Pelodiscus sinensis: one gene and its partners. The protein of the gene in region 3 purifies or fractionates together with the protein of the main gene of each other region. This does not show direct contact. Links are inferred from orthologs where the notes say so. Each region holds a gene or a part of one and is shown on either strand. Other genes may lie near its edges.

Region 1 (9,699 bases), on a different chromosome or scaffold from region 3:
ATGGGCTTGAACTGCAGCAAGGGAGGTGTAGGTTGGACATTAAGAAAAGCTCCCTAATTGTCAGGGTAGACAGACACTGGAATAAATTGCCTATGGAGGTTGTGGAATCTCCATCTCTGGAGATATTTAAGAGCAGGTTAGATAGACATCTATCAAGGCTGATCTAGATGGTGCTTGGTCCTGCCGTGAGGCAGGGAACTGGATTTGATGCTCTCTCGAGGTCCCTTCCAGTTCTAGTGCTCTATGATTGAATGGAACTCTTCTGAGCTGCAGTTGCTTGCAGAAAGTCATTTGTAATGTTTATTTTAGTGACTATTTGAACATGCAATCTTGAGAGGCAGCTTCCAAGAGTGATAAGTCTTCATTACGTATCCTAGTATTAATTATTGTTATTATACTTGGTTCTCAGGAGCCCTATTCTAGGGCCAGGACCCTTCATGCTAAGCACTATATAAACACAAAATTAAAAGATGGTCTCTGCCCCAGTTGCTTACACATCTAAGTAATGACTGAATAATGCAAATCGAGAAGGAGATGAAAATGTCTGCAGCTACTGGATACAAATTGTGGCCCTGAGCTTTCCAACTCCATGTGGTCTACCTTTGCAAAATTCACTGCAGAATTCTGGCTATTGATACACACAGCTGTAATTCATTAGCACACATATTGTGCTTCTTATCTTCAAAACAATTTAGTTGCTAATTCATTACCGCTCTCTACACCTTGTGAAGCAGTAAGAATTATTGTCCAGTGTTACAGACAGAGAAACTGAGGCAGAGAGTCTAGTGACACATTCCTTGTGTCAGAACCTGGGCTTCAGAAGTCAGAAGTTCCTGGTTGTGTTTCAAATTAGCATATTGTGCTGAGAGAGATTCCCTTTTGTTACCTCATTTTAAAAACAAGGAAGAACAAAAAGTATAGAAAATGAACCAGAGACTAGCTAAGGTGAGACTCACATTAGCAGATGTTAACCCACACCTGTCAACTGGTTTACAGATACCACCAGGCTAAACAACCTCCTTGATGTACCAATCACTCTAATTCCCACTGAAGTAAATGTGGTGTACAGGTCTTCAGCACTGTACGGGATCATGCCATACATGAGCTATCTTTACATGTACACTTAAATCACAGCTACCTATTTGTATATACTAGTGGAGCCAATAATGTATATGCAAACTTGAACCAAACACTGACCAGTCTGGGGATGTGATTATTTTCTACCGCTAATGTACCTGATGCAAAGTGCTCCACTTAGGAAGGAACAATCAGTTTCACACATAGGCTACGTCTACACTGGCCCCTTTTCCAAAAGGGGCATGCTAATTTTAAACTTCAGAATAGGGAAATCTGCGGGGGATTTAAATATACCCCGCGGGATTTAAATAAAGATGTCTGCCGCTTTTTTTCCAGCTTAGGGAAAAGCCGGAAAAAAGCGTCTAGACTGGCCCGATCCTCCAGAATAAAGCCCTTTTCCGGAGGATCTCTTATTCCTACTTTGAAGTAGGAATAAGAGATCCTCCGGAAAAGGGCTTTATTCCGGAGGATCGCGCCAGTCTAGATGCTTTTTTCCGGCTTTTCCCCAAGCCGGAAAAAAAGCGGCGGACATGTTTATTTAAATCCGCGGGGGATATTTAAATCCCCCGCGGATTTCCCTATTCTGACTTACCTGCTTTGCATCCCTTTTCTGGAATTTGGGGCCAGTGTAGACGTAGCCCTACAGAATGGGAAGCGACTGTCTAGGAAGGAGTACGGCAGAAAGGGATCTAGGGGTTATAGTGGACCACAAGCTGAATATGAGTCAGCAGTGTGATGCTGTTGCAAAAAAAGCAAACATGATTCTTGGATGCATTAAAAGGAGTGTTGTGAGCAAGACACGAGAAGTCATTCTTCCGCTCTACTCTGCGCTAGCTAGGCCTCAGTTGGGCTATGTCTATAGTCGCGGCTTCTTGCGCAAGTACGGCTGTTATTGCACAAGAATCTGCAGAGCGTCCACACTGCCCGCCCGCTCTTGCGCAAGGAAATTTACAGTACGGCGTGGTAAGAGAGGGCTCCTTGTGCAAGAATTACGCTCTTTTTTATCAGGTGTAAGCCCTTTTGCGCAGGAGCTCTTGTGCAAGAGGGCAGTGTGGATGCTCAGCAGGGATTTCTTGTGCAAGAAAGCCCTATGGCTAAAATGGCCATCAGAGCTTTCTTGCACAAGAGAGCATCTACACTGCCATGGGAACTCTTGCGCAAAAGCACAGCTTGCACATGGGCAATGTGGACGTTTTCTTGCACAAGACTTCTTGCACAAGAAGCCTTGTGCAAGAAGCCGCCAATGTAGACATAGCTTTGGAGTATTGTGTTCAGTTCTGGGCACCGCATTTCAAGAAGGATGTGGAGAAATTGGAGAGGGTCCAGAGAAGAGCAACAAGAATGATTTTAGAGAAGAAGGAAGGTCTAGAGAACATGACCTATGAAGGAAGGCTGAAAGAATTGGGTTTGTTTAGTTTAGAAAAGAGAAGATTGAGGGGGGACATGATAGCAGTTTTCAGGTATCTAAAAGGGTGTCATAAGGAGGGAGAGAGAAAACTTGTTCATCTTGGCCTCTGAGGATAGAACAAGAAGCAATGGGCTTAAACTGCAGCAAGGGAGATTTAGGTTGGATTTTAGGAAAAAATTCCTAACTGTCAGGGTAGTCAAACACTGGAATAAATTGCTCAGGGAGGTTGTGGAATCTCCATCTCTAGAGACATTTAAGAGTAGGTTAGATAAATGTCTATAAGGGATGGTCTAGATAGTATTTGGTCCTGTCATGAGGGCAGGGGACTGGACTCCATGACCTGTCGAGGTCCCTTCCAGTCCTAGTATTCTATGATTTTATGATCTACACTCGAGTTACAGGTGCAGAAAACCAAGTTTTAGTTTTATTACCTGTTGATACATCCTGGGCAGATCACTGATCCATTGCTTAGAGCCCTGGAAATGTACTTTAATCTCTCTTAGGAGCCTTCCTAGTTGAGTAAACCTGCTGTTTACCAGTTCAACTGCATAGGTGTCTCTGCCCCCAGTTGCTTACAGTCTAAGTAACGAATGAACAAAGCAAATCTAAAAGGAACATGTCTGCAGTTATTGGATACAAACTTTGGCCCCAATCTTGCAAAATTCACCGTAGGATTCCAGCCATTGACACACATTCTTGCATCTGACAAAGTGTTTTTTAACCACAAAAGCTGCCCAAATAAATCTGTTAGGCTGTGTCTACACTGGCCACTTATTCTGGAAAATCAGCCGCTTTTCCGGAATAACTTGCCAGTTGTCTATACTGGCCCCTTGAATTTCCGGAAAAGCACTGACGATCTACTGTAAGAAATCAGCCGCTTTTCCGGAAATACTATGCTGCTCCCGTTCGGGCAAAAGCCCTTTTTCCAGAAAACTGTTCTGGAAAAGGGCCAGTGTAGACAGCACAGTAGTGTTTTCCGCAAAAAAGCCCTGATCGCAAAAATGACGATCAGGGCTTTTTTGCGGAAAAGCGCGTCTAGATTGGCCACGGACACTTTTCCGGAAAAAGTGCTTTTCCGGAAAAGCATCCTGCCAATGTAGACGCGCTTTTTCCGGAAATACTTATAACGGAAAACTGTTCCGTTTTAAGCATTTCCGTAAATTCATGCCCGTGTAGACATAGCCTTAGTCTTTAAGGTGCCATAGGATTAGTTGTTACTGTCTACAGGTGTTCAGGACCAGTCATGGCTCATTGTTTTCCTGTTCTTCCCCCATCTTCCTGAAGCCATCAGTATATTTGTCTTGTATATAGATTATAGATAAGACAACAAGCTGTTTGGGCTGGGACCTGTCTTTTCGTTCTGGGTTTGTACAGCGCTTAGCACAACAGGGTCCTGGTCCATGACTACTAGGTGCTACAATAATACAAATAATAATAAGTCCTATGCATTTGTATACAACAGTTGTGGAGAAGAGAACGCTCCTTCCTGACGCTCACCTTTTCACTAAGCCTTTCCCACTGCTCTTCCAAAACAGGTTCCTGTGCTCTTTGTGAGAGTCTTGTCCTGCATGGGTTGGTATAGCAGTGTAAAGTAGAGGATTGAGATTTGGGAGACCAGAGCTCCCCAGTCTGCCACAGCTCTCAGGCAAATCATTTATGCTCCGTGCCTCAGTTTCCCTATGAGGGTAATATATCTACTTCTCACCCCAAGGCCTGTTGCAAGGGTCAGCCTTGCGTGTTTGCATGCTGTCCTAAGAGAGCAGGGTGAAGACAGTAGACAAGTAGGATAATGGAGTTACAGGAGTTAATGCTTGGGTGGAAGCTGCTAGGACAAGGCACAGTGTATCAGAAAAGACTCACTCGCGGCGCTGCCTGCAGCCGGGCTGCCAAGGCGGGAATCACGGCACGACCGCACCGCTCCCTTGGCCCTAGGACTTTGCCTTTCCAAAGTGCTCCTAGCACGGTAACAGGTAGGCTCCGAAAGTGCTTCAAGTGCAGCGAGACATGAAAGCGAAGCGGCTGCGAGCGCTAACTTCGCTCCCCGACGTGCAGGCGCATGTCCCACGGACCTGAGCGGCGACCGGGCACCGAGCTCCGCTTTTGCACAAAGCCCTGCGTGTTTTGGGGAGAGGGCGTGACCTAGGTTGCAGGTTTGGCTCCAGCTTTCCCGCCCCTGATAGGCGGGATCGAAGTGACGCGTTTGAGCGAAAGGCCAATCTCGCGTGGGGGGCGTTCCCATCCATTCAGGACTCCTCGCCTGGGCTTTGAGGGTATGTAACAGCTGCTTTCAATTTAGTCGCAAAAATATTGGGCATTTTGAGGGTTGAGGTGAGGATTTAAGACCTCCCGGCCCAAAGCAGGCCAGAACCCGAGGGGAGAAAGGGGGCGGTAGGAGGAGCTGTTGCGAATCAGGGTGGGCGAGGGACTGAGCTGGCGGATCCGTTGAGGAAGAGAGGAGAAATTAAAAGCCGTTTCCCCCTGGGTTTAGCTTTGCCTTTTGCCCTCGTCTCTGTCCGGAGATCCGAGAAGAGCAGGCGTTTGGCCGGGTGGTGTGCGTGCTGCTGGTGTTTGTTTAACAACGCGCTGGGTTCCATGCAGTTCGGGGGAAGAAGGAGGAGGAGCAAGGACAGCTCGGTTCCCCCGCCCCTTATTTTGCTTGGCATAAACAAAGCTGCGCTGCGGGTCGGGGTCCCGCGAGGAGGTTTAGGAGTTTGAGGAGTAGATTGAAGGGTGACTTTTGCAGCTCAGCTCGGTGCGTGGTTTTGCAGGCGCTGCCAGAGCGTGGATCTAGTTTACAAATCCCAAGGCCGGATGTCTTACTCGCAGGGAGGGCGGAATCGGCACCCGTAGATTTGTGCTTCTCTACGTGAAACTTGTTGGGGCGGGGGCGGGTGAATGGATCTGCCAAGAGGCAGCCGCCTGCAGGGGGGCGCGGGTTGCAGCTCCAGCTTCCCTCTCTCTGAACTGGCAGCTGCGTGATTGTTATTTTTAAAATCACGCTAAAACGAGCGTAGCTGAAGCCCCGCTGGTCCGAGCGGAGCCTCTCGCAGCTGCCGTGGCGTTCCGTTGCCGAACGCAAAGTAGCCAGGCGGGGGGTGAACGTTCCACCGCCGAACCCGCTAATGTTCTGTTGCCGAACGCTCGCTAGTTCCTGTGCCCCGAACCCACTTTGCGCCCCAAGCCGGAGCAGTAGCCTTCCTGCTCTCATCCCTCGGCGGATTGAGCCTGATTCCCTTTGCAAACATGGAGTTGCATCTTTCCACCCCGCCTCCTCTGCCGGTGGGAGGGAAAGATGGACAGCCTCGGGGTAGGGCTATCCCCTTTTCTCTCGCAGTCGGCTGGCCCTTGCTGCTCTCGTGCACGGTGGCCCAGAGTAGTTTCAGGCAGCAAAAGAGCTGGGAAGGTCGGGAATGGGGGGGGGGGGGGGGGGGAATTGGTCCGGCTCTGACCCGAGGAAAGGAAACGCTGCAGATAGGGCGATCATCAGCTGCAGGAGACAGGGAAGGAGGTTTAGGGTGTGGAGTAATCTGCCTGGAATTAACTACCGCGACGGACAGGCCCTCTCCATGGTGGACTCGCGGTTCAAGGGAGGAAAGGGCTTTCCTCGTGCTACCCAAGTGAGTGAGGCCGCGCGCCGGCCGCCAGCAAGACTGGCTTGTGCGGGGCGGAAGCAGCTGGCTGGAAAGGGAAGGGTTAGCGTTACAGTTTACAAGGCGTGGATTTGGGGAGGAAAAGGAGGGGACTCTGCCTCTCCAGCCCAAATGCGGGAATCCACTTCCGCGTCCTGCCAGCCTGAGCCGCTTTCCCTCTCCTTTGCTATTTGCTCCTTCAGCTATGCAAGCGGCGTTCCCTACCGAGCCACTGCAGGGGAGCTGTTAGAGTGAATACGCAGCACACGCACTGCCTCCCCCTCCGTACAGTCACTGGGCGGGATGAGCCCTTCTCCTATTGGAGAACTAGAGCCATCCCTTCTTCCTTATTGGCTAGGATTCCTAAATCGCTCCGCCCAGCTGAAGTCCTGGCTGTTTTTCAGGCTGGTGTTCCCCTCCCCTCCTACCCCAAATGGCAAAGGGCTCCCTAATTCCGGCGGGGCGAGGGAGGAGGGATGTTTTCCTCTCCTTGGAGCTGATTGGTAGAAACGAAAACATCGACCCACCTCCTTTCTGTCTCCGAAAGGGAGGGAGAATGGGGGAGGGGGAGAAGGCAGGTCCGGTGTCTCCCCCGTCCTCCCCCCACGTGTAATAGATCCGCCCCACGTGGGGCGCAGCCATCCCGGAAGTGAAGCTGCGCAGTTAATGCGGGGCAGGGCTTAGGGACAAAAGGATTCTCCCGCAGATCAGTCAGTTGATGAGCTCCCCGGCAAAGGGAAAGGCATTCCTTCCCCCATCCCCCGACAAGCTCTCCTGCTGGGGGTTGGGCCACCTGCTAGGATGCCTCTTTCCTAATCAAATCCCTCCTCCCCACAGCAAAGGGCAGCGGTGACTGTTTAGGATATTTTCGGAGGGAGCTCTCTCCCTGCACGCTATCCCAGGCCAGCTTCCTGGGGGGGCGGGAGAGTCATCCCAGCTTCCTTCTCTGCTCTTAAAGCTTGGTAGCAAAAACACTTGGCGGCCCTGTTTCCTTGCCCCATGCTTCACGTTTTTCTTGAGCGGGAGAAGTCCAGACTGGGCTCACTCCGGAGTTTTTTAACTCGGAGACTGTAAGGAATCTACCTGGCACAGTATCTCAAATACTAGAGATCCCCGCTTATGCGTCTATGCCCCGCACTCCGCCCCATGCTCTGCCCAGTGCGCCCCCGAGGTGGACAATTGAGGGGGGAAAAAAGCAGCAGCATGAATCGAGCCCCCTCCCCCACCTTTTCCCAATTTCTTTTCGCTCCTTCCAAGTCCAGTTTGGTGCCAGAATGTTTGGACTGCCTCGAGGAAGCATAGTTGCTTCTTTGCCCCTTCTCTGGGATCTAGCCGGAAGGTAGAGTTGTGGTCCAATGCTTGGTTCTACCGCCCCTCCCCGCTCCACTCTTTGTATGGGAAAGACTTAAGGGAAACTTTTCTCCAAACATTTTGTTAAGGTGTCGGTGGCCTCCCCCAGTACTGGTGTCCTGAGCGCGTACCAGCTCCTCCCCTGCTGCGATTCCTTTCAGATCCTTGATAGATTAGCCCGTCACAAGCCGACTATGGGTTAAAGTGGCCGTAAAGCACTTTTGCTGTGGATCGTACAATGTATCTACCCTCTGGTTAGCTACAAATCCTGTACTATGTAGTCAGCGAGGAGTACAGACAGAGGGAGCTCTGCGTGCGTGGTGTTTGTCTTTACTACGGTGTACTTTTGCCCTGCAACATGTGGATAGGATGCGCAGCACGTGGGTTTTCCTCTAAGCCCTGTTTGACCCAGGGGATGTCGTGCTTTGCTTTACCGTGGGAGTAGTAGCCCTAACCGCTTTCAGCGGCAGAGTTAACACGCGGAAAAGGGGATAGGGAGTTCACCCCGGTTTTCAGAGTCCGAATGAGACAGTCTAATGCAGAGAAATCGGTTCCCTTCCTCGCTGCTTGTACTACATTCAGACAGACTCATTGTAAAGCCTTTCCCATGGGCAGGGGCTGCTCTTTAGAAGGGAGTCTTGTTGAAGTCTTTCTCTCTGAATTCAGAACTACAAGTCCAGTCGTGTTGGAAGATATTTTAAAGCAAAAGCATACACTTCTACTCCAAAGGTGCTGGAAGCTAGCTGGAAGCAGGCGTGTCTAAGAAGCCACAGAGGGTTTAACAATAGCTCTCACTTTATGTGTGTGTGTGTGTGTATATGCACTAAGACAGCCTGTGAGTAAGGGGTGCTGGCATGTGAAGATTTCTAAGATCACTGGGCCATGGGTAATCTGTTCACCTTTTTATTTGAATGGAAATCTGAAAAAGAAAGTCACTGTTTTGAAACTGCAGCGACAGGCAAAATCTTGCTACTCAGTACTATATAATTAGCAGGGTTATAAGTGGAAGGTGAAAGACACTCTTGAATTTCCACTACATGCATCTGAGGAAGTGGGTCTTTGCCCACGAAAGCTTATGCTCCAGTAAATCTGTTAGACTATAAGGTGCCACATGACTCCTCCTCACTTTTGCAGATTCAGACTAACACTGCTACCTCTCTGATACTCTCAAAGTGACCCAGGCATTGTTACTTTTTACACCAGGAGAAAGAGTTTAGCTAGAGCAACACACAACAGAGATATAGAACCAAATCTTAAAAATAACACCCATGTGCTTAAGACGGTGTTTCTTTGCCTTGGCTGTCCCATGTCTATTGCAGTAGGCTCTTCTAGTCAGGGAGATGTTAAGGTCACTGGGTGTGTTCTTGACTGTCTCTGAGGTACAAAATATACTTCCAAATAATAAGGATTCTGGTCAGTTTTAAGGTTTGGAACAGAAAATGTGTGTAATGGTATTGGCCTTTGGCAGGCAGGAAGCAATAAGAATACAGTTTCATTAGAGTATTACCAGAAGGTATCTTTCATTTGTTGTCTGCATGGTGACAGTTTTTGAATGCCAGGAATTCATTGTGACATACACTGTTAGGGATTATTTTGATTATTCTCCTGTCCCTTGGAAGCATTGAGCTTGTACTGGATACAGTGTGTCACTTACTTTTGTAGTAAGTACCTACTGAGGATGAGAATTGTACATGTTGCTATCTTAGAAAAGCTTCTAGGGCAGTTGGTCATTGATCCACTAGTCATCAGTGATGGAAATACACAAAAACTCCATTGCTGAATTAATAAAGCAATCATCATTGTGGCTAACCGTGATTGCAGACTTTATTTAGCAATCAGGTCATGTAAGTTCATAGTAATTTATGCAAATAAATGCACATGTAACTTTTGTTTTTGTTTATTTACTGGCCTGTCTGTCCTTTGAGACAAACTTAATGCCTCCTTGCTGAGGGGAAAAAAACCTTCAGACTAGAGGAAAAATAACTGTTTAATCCTGTGGCAGCTTTTTTTTTTTTTTTTCTTCCATGTGAGTAACACATACCTGGACTTTATTTTGGAATAGAAACCTAACTTCCCCGTCTGCAGTAGTAACTCTGATCCAAAATGTGCTCAATAGATGACCTCCAGTTCGAGGCTGAATTCCAAATCCAAGGTGCTGTGGTTTAATGCGACCACCGAGTCATTTTGCTGCTGTTTAAAAAAGTTTAAATTTCTTTTGTGGTGTACAGGTTCACT
Region 2 (9,699 bases), on a different chromosome or scaffold from region 3:
CCTCTCCCACTTTGTATCCTAACTCCACAGAGCAGAGAGAGGCCCAACAGGAGTTAGGATGGAGTTTGCTGACTGCTTTTGGTAGTGGGGCAGGGGCAGAGGGCAAGGGTGAGCCTGTCTTAGCCCCACTGCACTACCACCCAGGAGCCCACATCCTGAAACCCTACCCCAGTCATGAACGCCCTCCTGCACTCCAAACCCCTGCCCAGCCCGAAGCACCCCTATATCCAAACACCCTCCCAGAGCTTGCACCTAGAACTCCCTCCAACACCCCAACTGCCTGCCCCAAGCTCAGCCCAGAACCCCTCTCTCACTCCAAAACCCTTAATCCAAGACCAGAGCCTGCACTCGAACACCCTGCCCCTGTCTGATGAAAGTGAGGGAGGATGGGAGAGGGAGGGAGTGAGCAGGGGCAGGGCCTCAGAGAGGGGACACAGAGGAGGCGGGGCCAGGGTATTTGAGTTTGAGGTAGATCTTGAATTGTACTTAAATTCAAAAAGTGATCTTGTGCTTAAAAAGTTTGGAGACCACTGGTTTACAGACTACGTTTATAACAGAGTGCAAGAGCAGGATGAAACAGGAAGATGATTGTCAATGGTGCACCTGAGGAGACAAACACAGTAAAACAAGCAAGTTTGTACATAATAAATGAGTCTCTTTATCACTTGCCTTTGGCATAACATACCTCCAAATACAGGAATAGCTTATGCTACTGTATTTCTGCATCTGGCAGTAGATCAGAGCGGCATACATATTTGTTTACATCATTTCACAAACACTTGGCTACTGAAATGTAAATGAAACTGTAAACAATCCTTTTACATTCATTCTCAGGGCTGCTGGAGACTCTATTAAGTATAAATGATGACAATGTTAGCATTTTAATAGATGCTATATCTGCCATAAGTAACACTTCTGGCAAAGCAGGGTGATTTCACAAAGCAACATTGCAATTTTTGAAGAGGAATTCTTCCATGTTACTCCCATCCTTTGGAAGAATGAATTTAACATAACAAAGACCCTGCTGAGCTGAGCTACTGGATCTCAATGTCCCATTAGTTCAATGGCTGAGTAGCCTCTTTGTATTGGTTGGTGACTCTTATAGGCTCAGAAATTATTGGCATTCTGCTCTACTAGGCCCTGGCTACACTACAGAAATGAACTGTGGCTAACTGAAGTGATGGAACATCACTGGTTTAAGCACTAATGGAACAGTGTATCCATACTAACGATGGTATTTTGAGATAAAAACCATGACAGTTTTGGCTGCATCTGCAGCAGTGCTGTTTTACAACTTCGCCATTGCCCTACTTCCTGAGTATGTTTCACAATTCCTAACACAGGCTTCTGGAACTTATTTTTGTGCTGCTTTCACTGGGAACTAATAGCTTGCCTTCTACTATTGCTTAATTGAGTAGGGCAATAAGTACCTGATTTTAGGGAAGGGAATCTCAGTTTTCTAGTCTCTCATCTGAAGTGGGTTGTGCCCAGGAAAGATCATGATACCATCTACATGTTTTGTTAGTCTCTAAGGTGCTGCAGGACTTTTTTTTTTTTTTTTTAAGTTTCATCTGTTGTCAGAATTCTGGGAAGCTGACATAACATAAAAAAAGAGCAGAGACCTAATTCTCCTTCTATGACCAACCCTCTGCTCCTGCATCCCTCTGAAATGAAAAACATTTCTGAATCATTCATAGCCATTGAAAACCTTTTGGGGACAGAACTATTTTGTTCACAGCACACATACCAGAATAAACAAAACAATTCTGAAATACAAAACTGAGATCTTACATCTGAAGTGAAATTGAAATCATTGCACTGGGGCAAGTTTTGAAGTTAAGGTATTAGTAAGGTATTATTCTGTAGAATACTAGCAACAGACATATTCGGCCCTGAGGGCTCCTAAATGGTTGCTCTTCTTTGAAAGCATGATGGCTTTAGGAAACAGTATACATGCCTTTAAAAATATGGTCCAACAAAATGTTTAGAGATGGTTTAGGCATTAATATTAACGTTGGGTAGTTCTGGAAAATTGGGTTGGTTTTGTTTTTAACCACAAATCATACAGCCATCTGCTGTTTCTCCCTAACAGAGATCCATGCAGGATGGAGAATAAACACTGCAATTCAATATCCTACTCTCTAGTACTAACCTTCCCACAAAATACACATTGTATTTCAACCACACATCCCTTAAAACATTAAATTACCTGGGAACATGGTATATTGTATAGAACAGAGCAATTCAACTATTTTATATTTTAAAATTTCTTTTAACTCAGGATCTACATTTCTAAGGCATTTTCTGTCTCTAGAAATGTATCTACGTACACATAAACCCTTTACAAACTATGTGAGGCTGGTGCTGCTAACACTAGGACCTAATTTACTGTTGCCCTACAGCTTATACAGTCAGTTACACCAGTACAAAGAGAACGTAAAACATTATCAACTTGGAATGGTATTTTATGCCTTTCTTGCATTTGTGATTGAGGCCCATGGTTCTTGGGACTACAATGGAGCATATGAATGTGGTAGCATGTATTGTTTGGCAGCATGTGGAGGATCAGATTCTGCTTATACACAGACCTCTCCAGCTCCTTTTGCTATGATGGAAGGCTGCAAACCCCAGCTTTTGGATTATTTGGTTTTATAAGAAAGATCATTATAGTTATTACTTGCATTACATACTAGTATAATTGCATGAAACTCAATTTTCCCAGTATGGAAAGATTAAAGGCAGTGTATACAAGTAGGCTTTGAAACTGCAGAGGGATTTGCTCCAGTATCCTTGCCAAAAAATCACTATCCCACTGTCATTGCTTTATGTCAGTTGCCTAATTGCTGCCTTTTAACAGAGAGGTGGCTACATTTCAATGACGCTATAACCCCCTCTAGAACCCTTCAAAAAGATAACTATAAATTTATTATACATTAAAATCCTTAAAACATTAGATTCAGGTAATTACTTTACCACGTATTTCACTCTCGGCCAATGGTTTATTCCCTGTAATTGCATGAGGGATGTGTGTTAAGTTTTACAAATTACATTCGTGCTAAGCATCTCTTCTCTGAGCTTTCTTCTTTCCAATATCTACTTTTGTCTTTTAACCTTCCAATTGTCTCCTCCACTTCATCCCTTCACATCCATGTCAACTTACCAAACTATACAGTAGTGTCTGATTTACAGCATTCCAAGTTTGAATCTGGGGAAGAATGACTAAAACTAGCAGTTTTCATAGTTTTGGGGCAGAAGAGGCTAGTGTTGATTGAGCCAAAGTGTATATTTATCATTTGCTTTTTTTCTCCTTTCTTTTCTTCATTTTTGTTTTGTGTTTAATATAACCTTTTAGAAAATGTTATAGTTCTTTACTGATTTGGCCACCTGTTTTTGTGTCAATATTTTTTCCTTCTTTGTTCCTATTTCTCTCCATTTCTGGTCCCTTTTGCAATGAATCTTGCTCATCCTCCCATTGTGGGCCCCTTGGAACAAGAGTTGGCAAGATCATTATTATTTGTGCTGGGGCAACCTCTGAGTCAGAATCAGAACGCCAAGGTGCTAGGTTCTGTACGGAAATGGAGAGTCTCCATCCCAATAAGCTCCCAGTTTTGAATTACCTTGAGCTAACTCCCTCTCATGCAAGCAAACTAATCTCACACCTCTCTAACCTTAACGCCCGCCTCCCATCCCCGCCCTTTCCTGCCGCTCACTCAGAAACCTCCCTTTATACTGAACTCCTGATCTAAGGCGCCTCTCAGTGTGACGGACGTAACTCTGCACCAATTAGCAGCCTCTCAGAGGGCTTAAGGCCGACGGGAAGCGTCCCTGCGCCAATAGGAAAGCACAACTGCCTCCAGCAGCAGGCTCCTTTGATCTTTATTAAACTCAGCCCTTTCTTCCTCTTCCCGACCCCTGAATGGACGGAGTCGCAACTAGCCAATGAGAAGTTTCCTTTCGGCTCGATGGACTTTCCTGCTCTCCAGTAGGATGTGAGATTCGAGCCACAGCCACCAATGAGGTGTGAGTGATACACTCAATGGGCGGGCTCTCCCTCCCAGGCGGGCGGAGAAGGCCGCGGTTATCGATCCCGCTGCTGGAGGGAGGCGGCCGCGAAGCAGCAGAGAAAATGGCGGCCATGGCTGCGGAGGCGGCCGAGACTGCAGCGGTGCCGGGTGACGCGGGAGCGGGCGAAGCCGAGCCCGAGCTGGAGCCCATCCCAGGCAGCGAGGCCGGCGCAGACCCCCTCCCCGCTGTCAGCGAGGCTGTGGAGTCGGCCGTGCCCGATGGGGACGAGGCCGACAGGGCAAAGCTCACTCTGGGGGAGGCCGAGGAGCCGCCTCCGCCCGTAGAGCTCGCCCGAAGCCCGGCGAGGACTCAGGAGCCCCAGCGTGAGAGGACAGACCCGGAGGACGCGGAGCTGGGTTCGCCCCAGGCCGAGCCCAGAGGAGCGCTCAGCCCGGAGCCCGAGGACGCGCCGCAGCCCTGCCCGCCGCCTGCTGGGCACCCTGAACTTCCCGAGGAGAAGCCGCAGCCCTGCCCGCCGGCTGCTGAGGGCCCCGTGGAGCCGGAGCCCGGGGAGGAGCCGTGCCGGCCGGAGGAGGAGGAGCCGGATGCTGCTGGTGCTGCAGCTGTAAAGCCGGAGCCCCCGGCCGCCGGCTCCCCGGTGTCCCCGGCCGACGGGGCGGCGGAGCCTCCGCTTCTGCCTGGCTCGGAGGTGCTGGTCACCCTTGACCACATCATCGAGGACGCGCTGGTGGTGTCGTTCCGGCTTGGAGAGAAGCTCTTCTCCGGGGTCCTGATGGACCTCTCCAAAAGGTGAGATGTCGCTGGGAGCCTGCCCGAGCCCCGCCCGGCTGGGAAAACCGCTGCTCCCGGCCGGGGGAGATCCGCCCTAAGGGGAGATCCCCGGCCCGGGGCCCTCGGGGACTTTCGCAAAGGGTGATAGCGGGCCTGGACTCCGCAGGTCCCTCTCAGCCGCCTCCTTCCCTCCCCTTTGAGAGAAGGAATTGGGGGAGCCAGGCTCTGTGCAGAAGTCACTAGTCTCCATCCTTCGTGGAGTTAAGAGGCAGGGTTCTTGGGGCCATGTTACCCCTTAAGCTCTGTCTAGTCGTGAGAGGGAAGAGAAACTGCCCCTTATTAATTACTACCTGTCTGAAAAACCCAGCCCTTACAGCAGCAGGCTAAGCCTGAGGCCTGGCTATGGTGAGTAGTAACGGTGCCCCAGCAGCCTTGTTGCTTTGAGACAATACCTAACAGCACCTTCTCCGATCGACAGCTGTGATGGGGATGTAGCCTCTGCTGCTGCCACACACGCTTTCTGGTCCTCTGGCCTACTACTGGGTTAAAGGTAAGGGAAAGGCCTGTCCCTTTTAAGTAATAAATACAGCACAAAACGGGTCCCTGACCAACAACCTCCGTCTCCTCCCCTCGTTTTGTTTTTCTTTTTTTACAAAAGAGTTATTGCTTGTGGGAAGTAGAAAATGAGATCAGCAGGAAGAGCACATGGCCATTTCTTTCTAACTCAGGATTCATCTGGGCCTTCCTAATACTTCCCTGTTAGTAACAGTCATGAGTTTGAGCTATAGAGAATTGACCTGATCCTCCCCAAATAGGTATGTTCAGATCCACAGTTTTATTTTGGGTGCTCATCTCTGATTTACAACTTGCATTTGTCAAGTCACTTTGTATTACTGTTTGGATTTCAGCAGTCTTCAAATTGAAGAAACTTAAACAAAAAATGGTCTTTAAGGTGCTACTAGACAAACAAAACATGTAGGTAGAAGTGGGTTTTGCCCATGAAAGCTTATGATACAGTCTACATATTTTGTTAGTCTTTAAGGGGCTACTAGACTATTTGTTATTTTTTAAGTGTTTCCTGTTACAAACTAACTTGGCTACCCCTCTGAAGCTTTCAAATTGAAGGTTATTGGAGCCCTGGTAGGTTTTCTGATATGATTGCTCCTTGTGTCTGGGGAGAGGGTTAGTCTTCCTGTGAACCAAACTTTCTCCTCAAGGAACCAATGTCCTCCTAGTCAGTCTGGACCCAGAGAGACAGTTTTGTCAAATCCAGCATTTCAGGAAACTTTGAGCGGAGTAAAAATTGTTTAAAAAAAAAAGTTTGTAATGATATAAATATCTCCTTTCTTTGATGTCTGTAGTTTGATACTTCAACATAAAGCAAGTACAGAGCAAAGTGAAAATAGCCCAATCATTCTCACTACCTGTGCTATATGAAGCACAAAAAGTAAACAACATAAACCTTGGAAAACAGAATTGCAAAAGTTCTTACTTGGAAATTCAAAATAGTGGTCATGACAGAGAACAGGCATCAGTTTTCAGAGATTATTTACCTTTGCAGTCTCTGTTCTCAGCGCTTCCTTTAGAAATGGGGCAAATGACTTTGTGCATGCTTTCTCTGGGCTCAGTTTGCTTGTTTTATGGGGTTGATGTTTAAAGAGGTTTATGTCCTCTACATTCTGTGAACCTGTTGGAAACATCTTAAAGGACCATGGAAGCTAATCATACAACTCTGAACTTAACCAGCTATGGTTTGAAAAGCCTTTATTAAATTGATTTCAGACTGATAGTTTAAGTGCACACACTTCAGTATTTCACACTAGAAAATTCACGAAGTGGTGATGGACCATTCAGTTACTCACCTATTTAAGCTCTGTGTATATAAAAGAAACATTTCCTGTGGGACGACTCAGTCAGCATCCCCTCACTGTGTCCACAGGAGCCAGGCCCCACCCACTTCCAGCCTGCCCCTCCCCGTGCTCACCTACAGGCTGGGTGTTGGGGCTGTCTGCCCTCCCCATCCCAGTGGCCAGGGTATGGCTGGAGGGAGTCATAGCTGCCGCAGCCTGAGCCCGACTTCCCCCCCCCCCCCCCCCCGTTTCTGGTGCGGCCTGTGCCCAGCCCCTCTCCTGGCTGCCCAGGCAGGGGTAGATAGACTGGGACTGGTGTAGCCTGGGCCCGGGCCCGCTCCTGGCTGCCCTGGGGGGGGGGGGGGCCAGAAAGACCGGGACTGGTACAGTCTCTGCCTTGCCCGATGGCATAGGGGATGGGGGAGGCAGAGCTGGGGCAGGCAAGGCAAAGAGCTGGGGCGGGCTGGGTGCAGGGCTGAGTCCCTGGTGGCTGGGGGGCAGTGGGTAAGAGCCAGGACTGGCCGGCCAGGAGTGGGCAGGGGCCAGGGTGGCTCGGCCCTGTTCCCTCCCCAGCGGCCTGGGATGGGAGGGTCAGGGCTTGGGTAGCCTCAGCCCCAGGCCCTCCCTATCTGAGAGGGAGTTTGGTGAGTAGCAAGCAGGGAATACAGTTCCCTAGCTTTTTCATAGAATCAAGCTGGACAAGACCTCAGAAGGTTGTCAAGTCCAGCCCTCTGCCCAAGGCAGGACCAATCCCAACTAAATCAACCCAGCCAGGGCTTTGTCAAGCCGAGACTTAAAAACCTCTAGGGATGGAGATTCCACCACCTCCCTGGGTAACCCATTCCAGTACTTTACCACTCTCCTAGTGAAATAGTTTTTACTAATGTCCAACCTAGGCCTCTGTAACTTGAGAGCATTGCTCCTTCTTCTGCCATCCATCACTACTGTGAACAGCCTTTCTGCATCCTCTTTGGAACCTCCCTTCAGGAAGTTGAAGGCTGCTATCAAATTCCCCCTCACTCTTCTCTTTAGCAGACTAAACAAACCCAAATCCCTCAGTCTCTCCTCATAGGTCATGTGCTTCAGCCCCCTAATCATTTTGGTTGCCCTCTGCTGGTCCCTCTCCAATGCGTCCACATCCTTTCTATGGTGGGAGGCCCAGAACCAGACACAATACTCCAGATGTGGCCTCACCAGAGCCGAATAAAAGGGAATAATCACTTCTCTGGATCCGCTGGCAATGCTCCTAATGCAACCTAATATGCCATTAACTTTCTTGGCTACAGGGCACCCTGTTGACTTCTATCCAGCTTCTCATCTGCTGTAATCCCCAGGTCTTTTTCTGCAGAACTGCTACTTACCCCAACCTGTAACTATGCTTGGGATTTTTCCATCCCAAGTGCAGGACTTGACACTTGTCCTTGTTGACCCTCATCAGTTTTCTTTTGGCCCAATCCTCATTATATTCTTTTGTGGATCTGGAGTTCAGACCCTTAGATTTGCTGGTTCTCACTGTGTTCAGTCACTTGCCATTACATTACTCTGGATCTTGTGTGCAAAAACAAAAAATACTTGCATCTTAATCACTTACTTTTGACTAGTGATAGAAATGTAGCCGTGTTAGTCTGGGGTAGTTGAAGCAAAATGCAGGACAATGTAGCACTTTAAAGACTAACAAGATGGTTTATTAGATGATGAGCTTTCGTGGGCCAGACCCACTTCCTCAGATCAAATAGTGGAAGAAAGTAGTCACAACCATATATACCAAAGGACTTTGGTATATATGGTTGTGACTACTTTCTTCCACTATTTGATCTGAGGAAGTGGGTCTGGCCCACGAAAGCTCATCATCTAATAAACCATCTTGTTAGTCTTTAAAGTGCTACATTGTCCTGCATTTTACTTTTGACTGAGTGCATTCCCTCAGATGTACATGTCCGTGACTTCTGGCTATAAAAATTCTCACCATGGAGGAGCGGCCACCTTTTTGATTTCTGATATCCCTTTGAGACACAAAGCCAAATACATAGAAGCACTGTGGATCCATATGGATGAGAAGCTGCCGCTTGATTCTTTAGTAGTGCAGCTTCAATGCATTTATGCTTCCAAATTGCCCCAAAACTTTTGTTAAAGGTAAGAGAAAGTATTCATCCAGAGTTTTTGGTGGAAAGCTTAGTGTTGTATTACTACTTATGGGCTGATGAGGGAATGATGCATGTTCTGTGTCTGTCCCTCTGTCTGTGTACAATGGATGGTCCCTCTTTGGGTGGATATGGGAGGTAAACTTGCTAAAACCAAAGGGATGAGAATTGGACTTCTTTACGTAAATACTCTGCAATGTCTTGCTAGTGTGTTACGAATGTATGTGAATTGGCAAATGAGTTCTGGATTCAGATCATGAAAAGAAGAATGAAGTACAGGCAGTCCCCAGGTTACGTACAAGATAGGGACTGTAGGTTTGTTCTTAAGTTGAATCTGTATGTAAGTCGGAACTGGCGTCCAGATTCAGCCGCTGCTGAAACTGACCAGCGGCTGACTACAGGAAGCCCGAGGCAGAGTTGCTCTGCCCCAGGCTTCCTGGAATCAGCCGCTGATCAGTTTCAACAGGCTGAATCTGGACGCCAGTTCCTACTTACATACAGATTCAACTTAAGAACCCCAGGTGTCCCCAAGTCAGCTGCTGCTGAAACTGACTAGCAGCGGCTGAATCAGGACACCTGGGGCAGAGCAGCTGGGGTGCTGCCTGGTTGGTCCAGTAGCGCTGAGAGCGGCGCTGCGGGACTAACCGGCAGCGCCCCAGCTGCTCTACCACAGGCGTCCCGAGAAAAGCCTAGTCTGCTGGGGGGGCGCACTAGCTGCGCCCCCTCTCCCCCCTCCCCCCAGCAGACCAGGGAGATGTGGGCGGCGGGACCGAGACGCACCGCGGTCCCGCCGCCCGGGTTCTCTGCGTCTCCCTGGTCTGCTGCCCCCCCCCCCCCCCCCCCCAGCAGACCAGGGAGACACGGAGTAGCTTTTCTCGCCCTGGTGGACGCGGGCGGCAGGACTGCGGCGC
Region 3 (9,699 bases):
AATAATATCTACCTCGAATGTCATCATTGGGGTAGAATAGATCATAAAGAGCCTTATACATCCTATTAAAATCAGGATTAATCGAATTGGCAAGATCAGCTGGGAAAGCAATAAGGTCCTCAGGAAGTAAGCACTCTTGCAAAACCACCAGCATATCGTCACTGGTTAGGTTGGTTCTGGCTAGTTTAGCCATCCAGTCCAGTGCATTGTTCTTTCTGCAAGGGCCTAGATTTTGCCCTACAGCTCTGGCTTGCTCTGGTGACAACACTCGTCTTTCATATTTCACAATAGGGTTTGGATCATTAGGGTGGAACACCTCAGTGGTGACAATGGGTTCCACCATACCCTCTACCAGCTCATTAGTTAATATAGTGTTCTCATAAATGTCCTTTTCAATGCCCTCGTTGATAGCAGAAACGAAACCTCTTGCAAGGCCTAGTTTCTGCTCTAGTTCTTTCAACTTTCTCTGGCATTCTGTGTGATCCATTGAGATGGGTTTAACTTGTCTTTTCTCATTTAATAGATGTCTCGCTGTAGCTTTAGAATCATTAAATCTAGCTACTTTATCAGTTATTTCACTCTCTAATTGTTGACATCTATTAATAACATCCTCCATTTGATGCGATAGCGCATCCCTCTGTGAACATAAGGTATTGTATTTGGTTTCTCTCAGAGCCAAATCAGCTTTTAATTTATTAATGGTAGAGTACTGTGCCATTCGGATTTCTAGCGAATCATTTAATTGCTTACTAAGAGCCTCTACCTCTACGTCTAATGATCTAGCCACCATGGCTAATCCTTGTATAATGGCTGCCTTTTTAGTCTTTTTATTAGGCTTGGGTTTGGTCTGAACAAAGATTTCCCACATTACTTTAAAATTCTTTAAACAATCTTTCCCTTTTAAATCACTTGCATCCCACACATTCACACTTTTAATAAAGACATTAATATCTTCTTCAAGAAGGATTTTATTTGACTGCTCTGCTGTCTTGCTGCCTTGCAGTCCAAAGATTCGGGGTGCCTTCTTGGACGCCATACCTTAAACTTGTAAGGGTCCTACCTTACCTTTATAAGTCTGGAAGAAACCTGGGGACTTCTGTGTTATCAGAGACAGTAGGCTGATCAGGCCTCTGCTCTGCAGAAATTCTCCTTAAGCTATTAAATAAATAAACTGTACGCAGCAGACTGCGCAGCACCTTTGGGGCGCTCCACGCAGTGAAGCAGCAGTTGCTAAGCAACCCGCCGGTAAACATTCCACACTAGGCAACGCTCTGAACCCCGTGAACATTCCAAAATGCAAATTGACTTTATGCAAATGTACTTGGACCGGTCAAAATGCAAATTAATTTTATGCAAATTAATCTTATGCAAATTAATCTTATGCAAATGGTGGAACACCTGAATGGAGGAACGTTCCAACCCAAAATGGCTACCCCAAACTTAAAATGGCAGATCGCCAGCACACCTGAACATTCTAAGAAAAACCTCTAAAGGGGTTTAAAATCTTAAAGTGGTGGAACGTTTATTCCATTGATGAAACGTCCTGAACCCAGAGGATTACCGCCTCTAAAGGGGTTTTAAAATGAGGTGAGTAACTTTGTCTTAGCAGCAGCAAGCCACCTCAAGGAGACCCAAAACAAGGGACCCTCAGTTTTAAACCTTTTAAATTCAGGTTAAACTGCCCAAAAGACTACTCCTTGAATTGCTTAGCTTGGCTCAGAAGTAGGACAAGCTAAGCCTTATCTCAAGGTAACACAGCTTAAGGATACCTATCCCCTCCTTGTTACCCTCTATCTGCCTAAATCCTAACAAACCAAAACCCACAAGCCACACACTTGATGTTCATTTGAGGTATGTACACTTAAATAAAAAAACTAAGAACTGACACTCTGAGAGGGTCCTGCCGCGGTTGCCACAATTCTGTTACCTGTCTATCGAACAGAATAAGGAAGGTCAAAAGTGTTTAAAGACACTTCCCAAAGAGTTAGTTTAATAACCCGACCAATCCGCAAGGTTAGTTTCTAATTCATTACATTTCTTTAATACCTCCTCAATTTGAATATTTAATGCATCTCGCTGTGTGCGTAATTTGTCAATTTTGGCATCCTTTATTTTAATTTCATTAACCAACTCCCTATTCATAAGTTTTCAAATTCAAACAGTCAGGTATTACTACATGCCAGGTGACTAGAGGCTAATGGTTTCTTAATATGATTGACAGTTTAGGTTACAAGAATGATACACATTACAAGACATGGGTCGCAGAGGAGCATCCTCACCCTGCTTAGCCACACGATCACCTTGGAAGAGTAAACCGGGAGAACGGATAGGGTCTCCGGGAAATGTACCCGCAAAGTGGTAAAACGGGAGTAGGCCCCGGCCTGCCCCGATTCCCTCCCCGAGTCACTGGACCGTATACAGCTATCTGTTGTTGATGCGTGCATCTATGCTCCACCCCCATAAGTGGGGGTGGGCCCAGAGGACTAAACCAGCCCACACCAGGTTCTGCCGCGGTTGCCAAACTGTTACTCGGAAGGCTGAGGTAAACAATGGCTGTGGGCAATTAATTAAAGCCTAATGCTGCCTCCCCCACAGAAGCCAGATTCAACCTGGAACACGTATTTATCACCCTTGGGAAGATAGTCAGAAATCAGGTCAGACCCGAATTTAGGGCCAAACCCTATATTTTAGAAAGATAGCAACACGCATCAACAACAAGAACCACAGTAAGTGACCCACCCTAACCTGGAAGAAAAGAGAATAGAAAAGATCCCGTATACAAAAGGAATATACTTTACAACAAGAATTGAAGGCGGCAATGGACGTCTGCGACCTCGTGGCTAATTTAAAGGAAGGACAGCAGGCAGATCCCTTGAAGTGGGGTATCCTCACCTCCATATGGCTGACACACTCCGGATTCCTTGGCACCAGTCCCTCGGCTTGGTGAGGCTCCGCGGGTACATAAACAATGGATAGTAAAGTCCCATAATCCAATGATACCAGTCCCAAAGTCCTTAGAGAGGAGACTTCTCTCACACCTCAGGAGGGCACAGTTAGTGTTAGACCTGGGCGGCCTTGACCAGACCACGTGCGGATGGCGCTTCTTAGGGGTGACGGCAGTAAGGCGGGAAACTGGGTTAGCGAGTGGGGTGCAGTAGAATAGGGCGGTGTGCATAGGAAAAAGGGTGCAAGGTGCATAACCTGGCTGCGCACACATCGCATTAGAGGGGGGTGCATAGGTTAGCATTCCTCCGTGTGATTTTGGCGGGAAGAAACTGCTGAGGTGATAATGATCAGTAGACTCCATTTTGAATCACTAGCCTGGGTAACATGTGCAAGAACGCACTTGCAGTGTAGACACCCAGCAAGTTTTTGCGCAAGAACAGCTGTTCATGCACAAAAAGTCTGCAGTGTAGACGTAGTTATGTCCACTCTGCACGCTTATTTCAAAATAGCAGAGTGCACGTCTAAACAGCAAGGCTATGTCTACACTGGCGTGTCCTTACGCAAAAACTCTTTTGTGGAAGAGTTCTTCTGCAAAAACTCTTCCAGAAGAGAGTGTCTATACTGGCATGTACTTTTGCGCAAGAGCATGTGCTTTTGCGCAAGAGCATCCATGCTAGTGTAGATGCTCTCTAGCGCAAGAAAGCACTGATGGCCATTTTAACCATAGGGCTTTCTTGCGCAAGAAATTCATGTTGCCTGTCTATACTGGCCTTTTCTGGAAGAGCTCTTGCGCAAGAGGGCTTATTCCTGAGCAGGAGCGTCAGAGTTCTCATGCAAGAAGCCCTGATTTTAGACATTAGGACGTCATTTTACTTGCGCAAGAACACGAGGCTAATGTAGACAGGCAGCAAGTTTTTGCGCAAGAGTGGCCGTTTTTGCGCAAGATCGCGCCACTGTAGACACAGCCCAAGGCTGTTATTTCAAAATAATTTCAAAATAACAGGCTTCTCCGACTTCTCCCTTTGACTTCCTGCAGTGTAAACAACATCAAAAGCAGAGTTAAGCTACTTTGACATCAACTATATTCCAGTTTTAGCTCCAGTGTAGACGTGCTCTGAGTGTTGGTCTGGGCAGACTGGGTTATGGCACTACCATCTTTGTCAGCTCTTGATCAGGAAGCTGCACGCCCTAGTCAGAACCCCACCTGCCAGCAAGGGAGGCTCCCTAGAAGACGTTCTCTCCCTGGGGGCTGGGAAGAACATCTTTAAGAGCCAACCCTGCCGCTTCAGAAACCAGCCAATCAACACAGCCCCCCATTGACTCTTTTCAATGCATCTGAGGAGTCTGAGACAATCGTGCTGGGGGCGGGAACCGCGTGGGCGTCACAGCGGCAGGCTCTAGGGCAGCGTTGACGTCACTGCTGATGGGGCGGGGCCAAAATTCTCTACGCTGTTTGTTTGGCAGCATCAAACCGGAGAGGGGCTTGCCAGGCCCTCCTTTGCCCCGCCCTCAGGTTGTTGGGCACTCTCCTGCTACGCATGCGCTTCTCCGCCTCGCTGCCTGAGTGAGCCCCGGAAGGGGCGGTGGCCGGTGGGCGGGAACGTTGAACTCTGGCTTCCTTGTTGCACGCGCATGTGGCGCGCGCGCTTTGGCGTCAGCGCCGCCTCTCATTGGCCACTGCCTCGGGGCCGTCGCGGGGCTGACCCGGAGGAAGAGCAGCCGGGGCGCTGCGCACGCGCATGGGCGGTTGGGAGTCTGGGACTCCAAGCCAACGAGGCCGCCTAGAGCCCTGCAGGCCGGCGCGCGAGCGGCCGCTTTTGAACCGCGGCGGAGACGGCGGCGCCAACTCCGCCCGGGGCAGGGGCGCGCAGCGCGGGAGGGAGCCCCAGTCACAAAATGGCGAATAAAGAGAGTAAGAGCCGCGAGGGGGGACGCGGGAGAGGGGGGGACGACGCGCGCGCGCACCTCAACCGGCTCTCTTAGGCCCAGACGGTTGTCGGTGGGGGGGGGGCGGTCCATTGGGGTGGGTATTTCTCCCCCCCCCATCACACACTTCGGCTCCCAGGAGCCCCCGCCTAGCGCGCCTCTCTGCCCGCGCAGTGTTCGAGGACACGGTGGAGGAGCGCGTCATCAACGAGGAGTACAAAATCTGGAAGAAGAACACCCCGTTCCTGTATGACCTGGTGATGACCCACGCGCTCGAGTGGCCCAGCCTCACGGTGCAGTGGCTGCCTGATGTCACCAGGTGGGTGGGACTCCTCCTTCCAACCCTCCCTCCAGGGCCCCGCTTCAAGCCGCCTGCCCCGCAGGGTTGGCAGCGCCCACTGAGACGTCCTGGGAAGGATAATCCTAGCAGTAAAGGGTTGCAACCAGTCAGTGATACCTATATTTCACCAGGACTATGTAGCACTTTAAAGACTAACAAGATGGTTTATTAGATGAAGTGGGTCTGGCCCACGAAAGCTCATTATTTAATAAACCATCTTGTTAGTCTTTAAAGTGCTACATTGTCCTGTATTTTACTTCAGCTATATTTCACCAGTCAGTGATACCTTCGGTATCTGGACTACTCTTGCTGCACTCTGTAGAGAGAAAAGCTGCCTGTTAGATTATCCAGGTTTGATATGCCTATTTAATGTTAAATGCCTTTAACTTCATTAATACGGATTTTTAAGTCGGTGCTGATGTCAAAATGCCTCTACTTAATGTGTACACACTGTTGTATTTACACTGTTCAAGCATAAACAAAGTTTTGTTAAAAACTTACTTGTCCAATTTACTGATGTCAAGAATACCTGGGGTTCAGCTGGTAAACATGTATGTGGCTGTGCCTAATGTGTCTGGGAAAAGTGTTTTTCCCAGTTCATCTGTAATCTCCCATAGAAATTGGGATGTTACAGAAGAACTTTATCTCTCAAAATATTTACTAATATGGAATAACTGTTCTACTTTTGTAAGACCGTTTGTTTTATTGAACAGGCCTGAAGGAAAGGATTATGCCCTTCATTGGCTAGTATTGGGAACACATACCTCTGATGAGCAGAATCATTTGGTTGTTGCAAGAGTCCAGATTCCTAATGATGATGCTCAGTTTGATGCTTCTCACTATGATAGTGAGAAGGGAGGTGAGTATTGCAGGAATTGTTGATTGTGTTCTTTTAGCAGTAATGTAAAACAGTGCCTATTCTGTTTAATGGTGTTCTAACTTGTAACCTTAAAAACATTTTTTCTTAAGAGTCTATTTGTATATTAAAGTTGTTTTTAGTATATTGCAGTGCCTCTCAAGCTTTCCAGACCACTACAGGCAGTCCCCGACTTACGCGGATTCGACTTACGTCGGATCCGCACTTACGAACGGGGCTTTTCTCGCCCCAGAGCCCACCCATGTCCTCTGGGGCGAGAAAAGCTTCTCCCGGTCTCCCTGGTCTGCTGGGGGGGTCCAGCAAAGGTGCTGGACCCCCCCCCCCCAGCAGACCAGGGACACCCGAGCAAAGCTGCCGCCTGAGCGGCTTTGCTCGTTTGCCCGGGAGCAAAGCTGCCCAGGCGGCGGGGGTCCCGCTGCCTGGGCGGCTTTGCTCCCGGGCAAACGAGCAAAGCCTCCCAGACGGCGGCTTTGCTCGGGTGTTCCTGGTCTGCTGGGGGAGTCCAGCGGCTTTGCTGGACCCCCCCCCCCAGCAGATCAGGGGGACAGGAGCAAAGCCGCCCAGGCGGCGAGGGTCCCGCTGCCTGGGCGGCTTTGCTCGCGTCTACCTGCTCTGCTGGGGGAGGAGGGGGTGTAGCTAGTGCGCCCCCCTCCCCCCTCCCAGCAGACCAGGCTTTTGTTGCGGGACGCCTCAGGTAGAGCAGCTGGGGTGCTGCCAGGTTGGTCCTGTGGGAACCTACCGGGCAGCGCCCCAGCTGTTCTGTCCCAGGCTCCAGATTCAGCAGCTGTTGAAACTGATCAGGCTGATTCCAGGAAGCTGGGGGCAGAGCAACTCTGCCTCCGGCTTCCTGTAGTCAGCCCCTGGTCAGTTTGTGGCAGCAGCTGAATCTGGAGCCAGTTCCAACTTACATACAAATTCAACTTAAGAACAAACCTATAGTCCCTATCTTGTACGTAACCCGGGAACTGCCTGTATACTCATTTCAGGAGTCTAATTTGTCTTCCACACCCCAAATTTCACTTCACTTAGACCTACTTGCTTCAAAAATAGATTTAAAAATTACAGAAGTGTCAGAGTATATGTAACTAGGCAAGTATCTGGATGAGTTGATGTATACCCTGGAAAACCTCTAATATCCCTATGGGTACATGTACCCCTGGTTGAGACTCAGTGGTTTAAAAGTGTAGTTCTAGAGCCTTAATATATTTTAGTCTAGAATGACCCTTTTAAAAAAAATATCTGAAACCCGATAACGTGCATTAAGTCAAGTCAGTATTGGAGAACTTCCTGCAAGAAGTTTCCTGTTTCGTATAGGTATTGACTTGACTAAGTTTTTCAGTTGTGACACTAAAGCTGTGATCACCAACCTGTCGATCGCGATCGACTAGTCAATCGCAAGGCCTCGACCAGACGATCATGAGGTGTTTGGGCTCCTCCAGGCCTCATTTTCCCCCCACCTCCGAGAAGCCCCACTACCTACCTCCAGCGTAGTGCTGGCTTCTCACGGGGTGGACGGAAGTCCAGTCTGCAGCTTCACGCCACTTACAGGGGTTCTGGAAGTGCGCTGGCTGCTCCCCTCCCATAGCTCTGTGGTGTGCTGGGCGTGCTGCGGAAGGGGGCGTCTGCCTCGGATGAGGAGTACGGCGGCTTCCCTGTGCCGCAGGAGGGGTGAGTTGAGCGCAGTGGTTTCCCTGTGCCACGGGAGTGGAGTTTGGCCCCAGGGTAGGCACCCGTGGGGGTTTGGCTGCTCTGCGGGAAGGGGGTTTGGCCCTGGAGCAGGTGCCAGTGGGTGCTTTGGTAGGGGACAGAGTTCTGCGGCTGGGGACCGGAAAGGGGACAGAGTGCCAGTGGGGACAGGTTTCTGAGGCTGGAGATTGGGGGAGAGAGAACAGTGGGAGCAGAGAATCCCCTGCACCCACCTCCTCCCAGGATTCTCCCCCCTTCCCCTCGGGAAGCCAGCGCGTGCCTCCTCCAGGGCCGGCGCGTGCCTCCCGCAGCACAGCCAAACCCCCACGGGCACCTGCTCCAGGGCCAAACCCCCTTCCCGCAGAGCAGCCAAACCCTTCCCCAGTACTATGTCCCCTGCTCCCACCAACACAGTTGGGGCCACATTAGTGAAGCTTGGGGGGGGGGGGGGGTGGAGGAGGGTTTTTTGGCATCTCACTTGTGTGGCCCCAACTGACTTTTCTATGGGTCAGTGACCCCTGACTCAAAACAGGTTCCCTGCCCTTCTCAGAAATAAAGACAATGCAGAAACTTTTTGTGTTTGATGTCGTATTTTATTTGAAAATGAAGCCTGGCCAACAAACCCCCAATTGGGGCCAAGCCCCCATCTGGCCACAGCATCACGACACTCCTGCACTCCCCTTTCCCCCAGACCCTACATCTGAGCCTATCATACACTGGAACCCCCTGCCCTGAGCCCCTCACATATCCCAACCCAAATTTCTGAACCCTCACATCCAGAAGTCTGTGGCTTACTTAGAACCCTAACCCTACATCTGACCCCAACACTGTCCGGCCTGGAGTCCCCTCCCCGAGCCAGCGTTCCCTTATCCATTTTCTCCCAGAGCTTGCACCTCTCACCCCTTTCCAAATCCCTCATTTCCAAATCCCTCATTTCCACCCCGGAGCCTACACATCCTGTCTCAGCCCAGCGAGGGTACGGCTAGACTGCAGGAGTTTTTCAGGATTCAGGAGATATCCCAGAAAAACTCTTCTGCATCCTGGGATGCATTTGTTCTTCCTCTTCTTTTAGTGGAAGAACAAATATGATCTTTCAGTCACCCCTATATTCATTCCTCTTTCCACAAGGTCTTCCAAAAGAAGGGGTTTTTCTGACATTTGATCAAGTCTAGACAGTCCAAATGTTGGAAAAACTTCTTCCTACAGAAGAATTGGGGGGAAAAAGCAGCAGTGTAAGGGTTGGGGATAGCAAGTGATGGAGAGGAGGAGAATAGAGGGGGTGGGGCTTCAAGGTAGGGGTGGGTTGGTAGATCTTGGCTTGTTCTGTCATTTCAAAAGTTATCTTGGTGTAAAAAGGTTGGAGACCATTGCACTAAACCAATCTGATAGACTAATTTGATCAGGAGATTTATCCTTTTAAGGTGTCAACCACTACTTACTGTGATGATCTGTTCAGTTTAATACTTCTCTTTTTTTCAAGATAAGATGATAACTTTTAAGATTGTATTTAAAGGAATGTAAAGTAATTAATCATCCTGGTGACTTGTGTGTCTGTATAAAAAATATTTTCCTGTGGGATGACAGAGTGATGTCATCACATCAGTGTCCGCTGGGGTGGGGGGGGTAGGCATAGGTGGGTAAAGCCCAGCCCCGCTCCTTCTGCCTGAAGCCAAGCTCCACCCACTGCTAGCTCGTACTTCTGAGGTGGCCACATGGAGAGCCGGGGCTGGTGCACTGCAGCCTCAGCTTTTCCTGGCTGTGGTGGGGTGGAGTGGGGGGAGGAGCAAGGAATGGGGCTGGTGTGCCGGAGAGGGTCGGGGGTGAGAGTCAGGGGTTGCCTATCCCCCGAGAGAGGGAGGTTGGCGAGCGTGGTGAGCAGGGGGCACCGCCCCCATTGTTACTACATTAAACAACTTGCCATTAT

The links.
Region 1: the proteins of RBBP7 (region 3) and SIN3A purify together in Homo sapiens (affinity purification with mass spectrometry; 8 studies listed by BioGRID and IntAct, counting the BioPlex papers as one, with this or other methods). This does not show direct contact. The link is inferred for Pelodiscus sinensis from reciprocal best matches to the Homo sapiens genes RBBP7 and SIN3A.
Region 2: the proteins of RBBP7 (region 3) and PWWP2A purify together in Homo sapiens (affinity purification with mass spectrometry; 3 studies listed by BioGRID and IntAct, with this or other methods). This does not show direct contact. The link is inferred for Pelodiscus sinensis from reciprocal best matches to the Homo sapiens genes RBBP7 and PWWP2A.

The regions. Positions count from the first base shown.
Region 1 is NC_134724.1:34,506,681-34,516,379, forward strand, and holds the start of SIN3A (paired amphipathic helix protein Sin3a), read left to right. Parts: upstream 1-4,691; 5' UTR 4,692-4,755; intron 4,756-9,699. UniProt on the Homo sapiens protein: Acts as a transcriptional repressor. Corepressor for REST. Interacts with MXI1 to repress MYC responsive genes and antagonize MYC oncogenic activities. Also interacts with MXD1-MAX heterodimers to repress transcription by tethering SIN3A to DNA.
Region 2 is NC_134727.1:15,067,556-15,077,254, forward strand, and holds the start of PWWP2A (PWWP domain-containing protein 2A), read left to right. Parts: upstream 1-3,933; 5' UTR 3,934-4,036; coding exon 4,037-4,815; intron 4,816-5,277; exon of another isoform or gene 5,278-5,347; intron 5,348-9,699. UniProt on the Homo sapiens protein: Chromatin-binding protein that acts as an adapter between distinct nucleosome components (H3K36me3 or H2A.Z) and chromatin-modifying complexes, contributing to the regulation of the levels of histone acetylation at actively transcribed genes.
Region 3 is NC_134711.1:210,747,692-210,757,390, forward strand, and holds the start of RBBP7 (histone-binding protein RBBP7), read left to right. Parts: upstream 1-4,551; 5' UTR 4,552-4,842; coding exon 4,843-4,858; intron 4,859-5,046; coding exon 5,047-5,191; intron 5,192-5,925; coding exon 5,926-6,071; intron 6,072-9,699. UniProt on the Homo sapiens protein: Core histone-binding subunit that may target chromatin remodeling factors, histone acetyltransferases and histone deacetylases to their histone substrates in a manner that is regulated by nucleosomal DNA.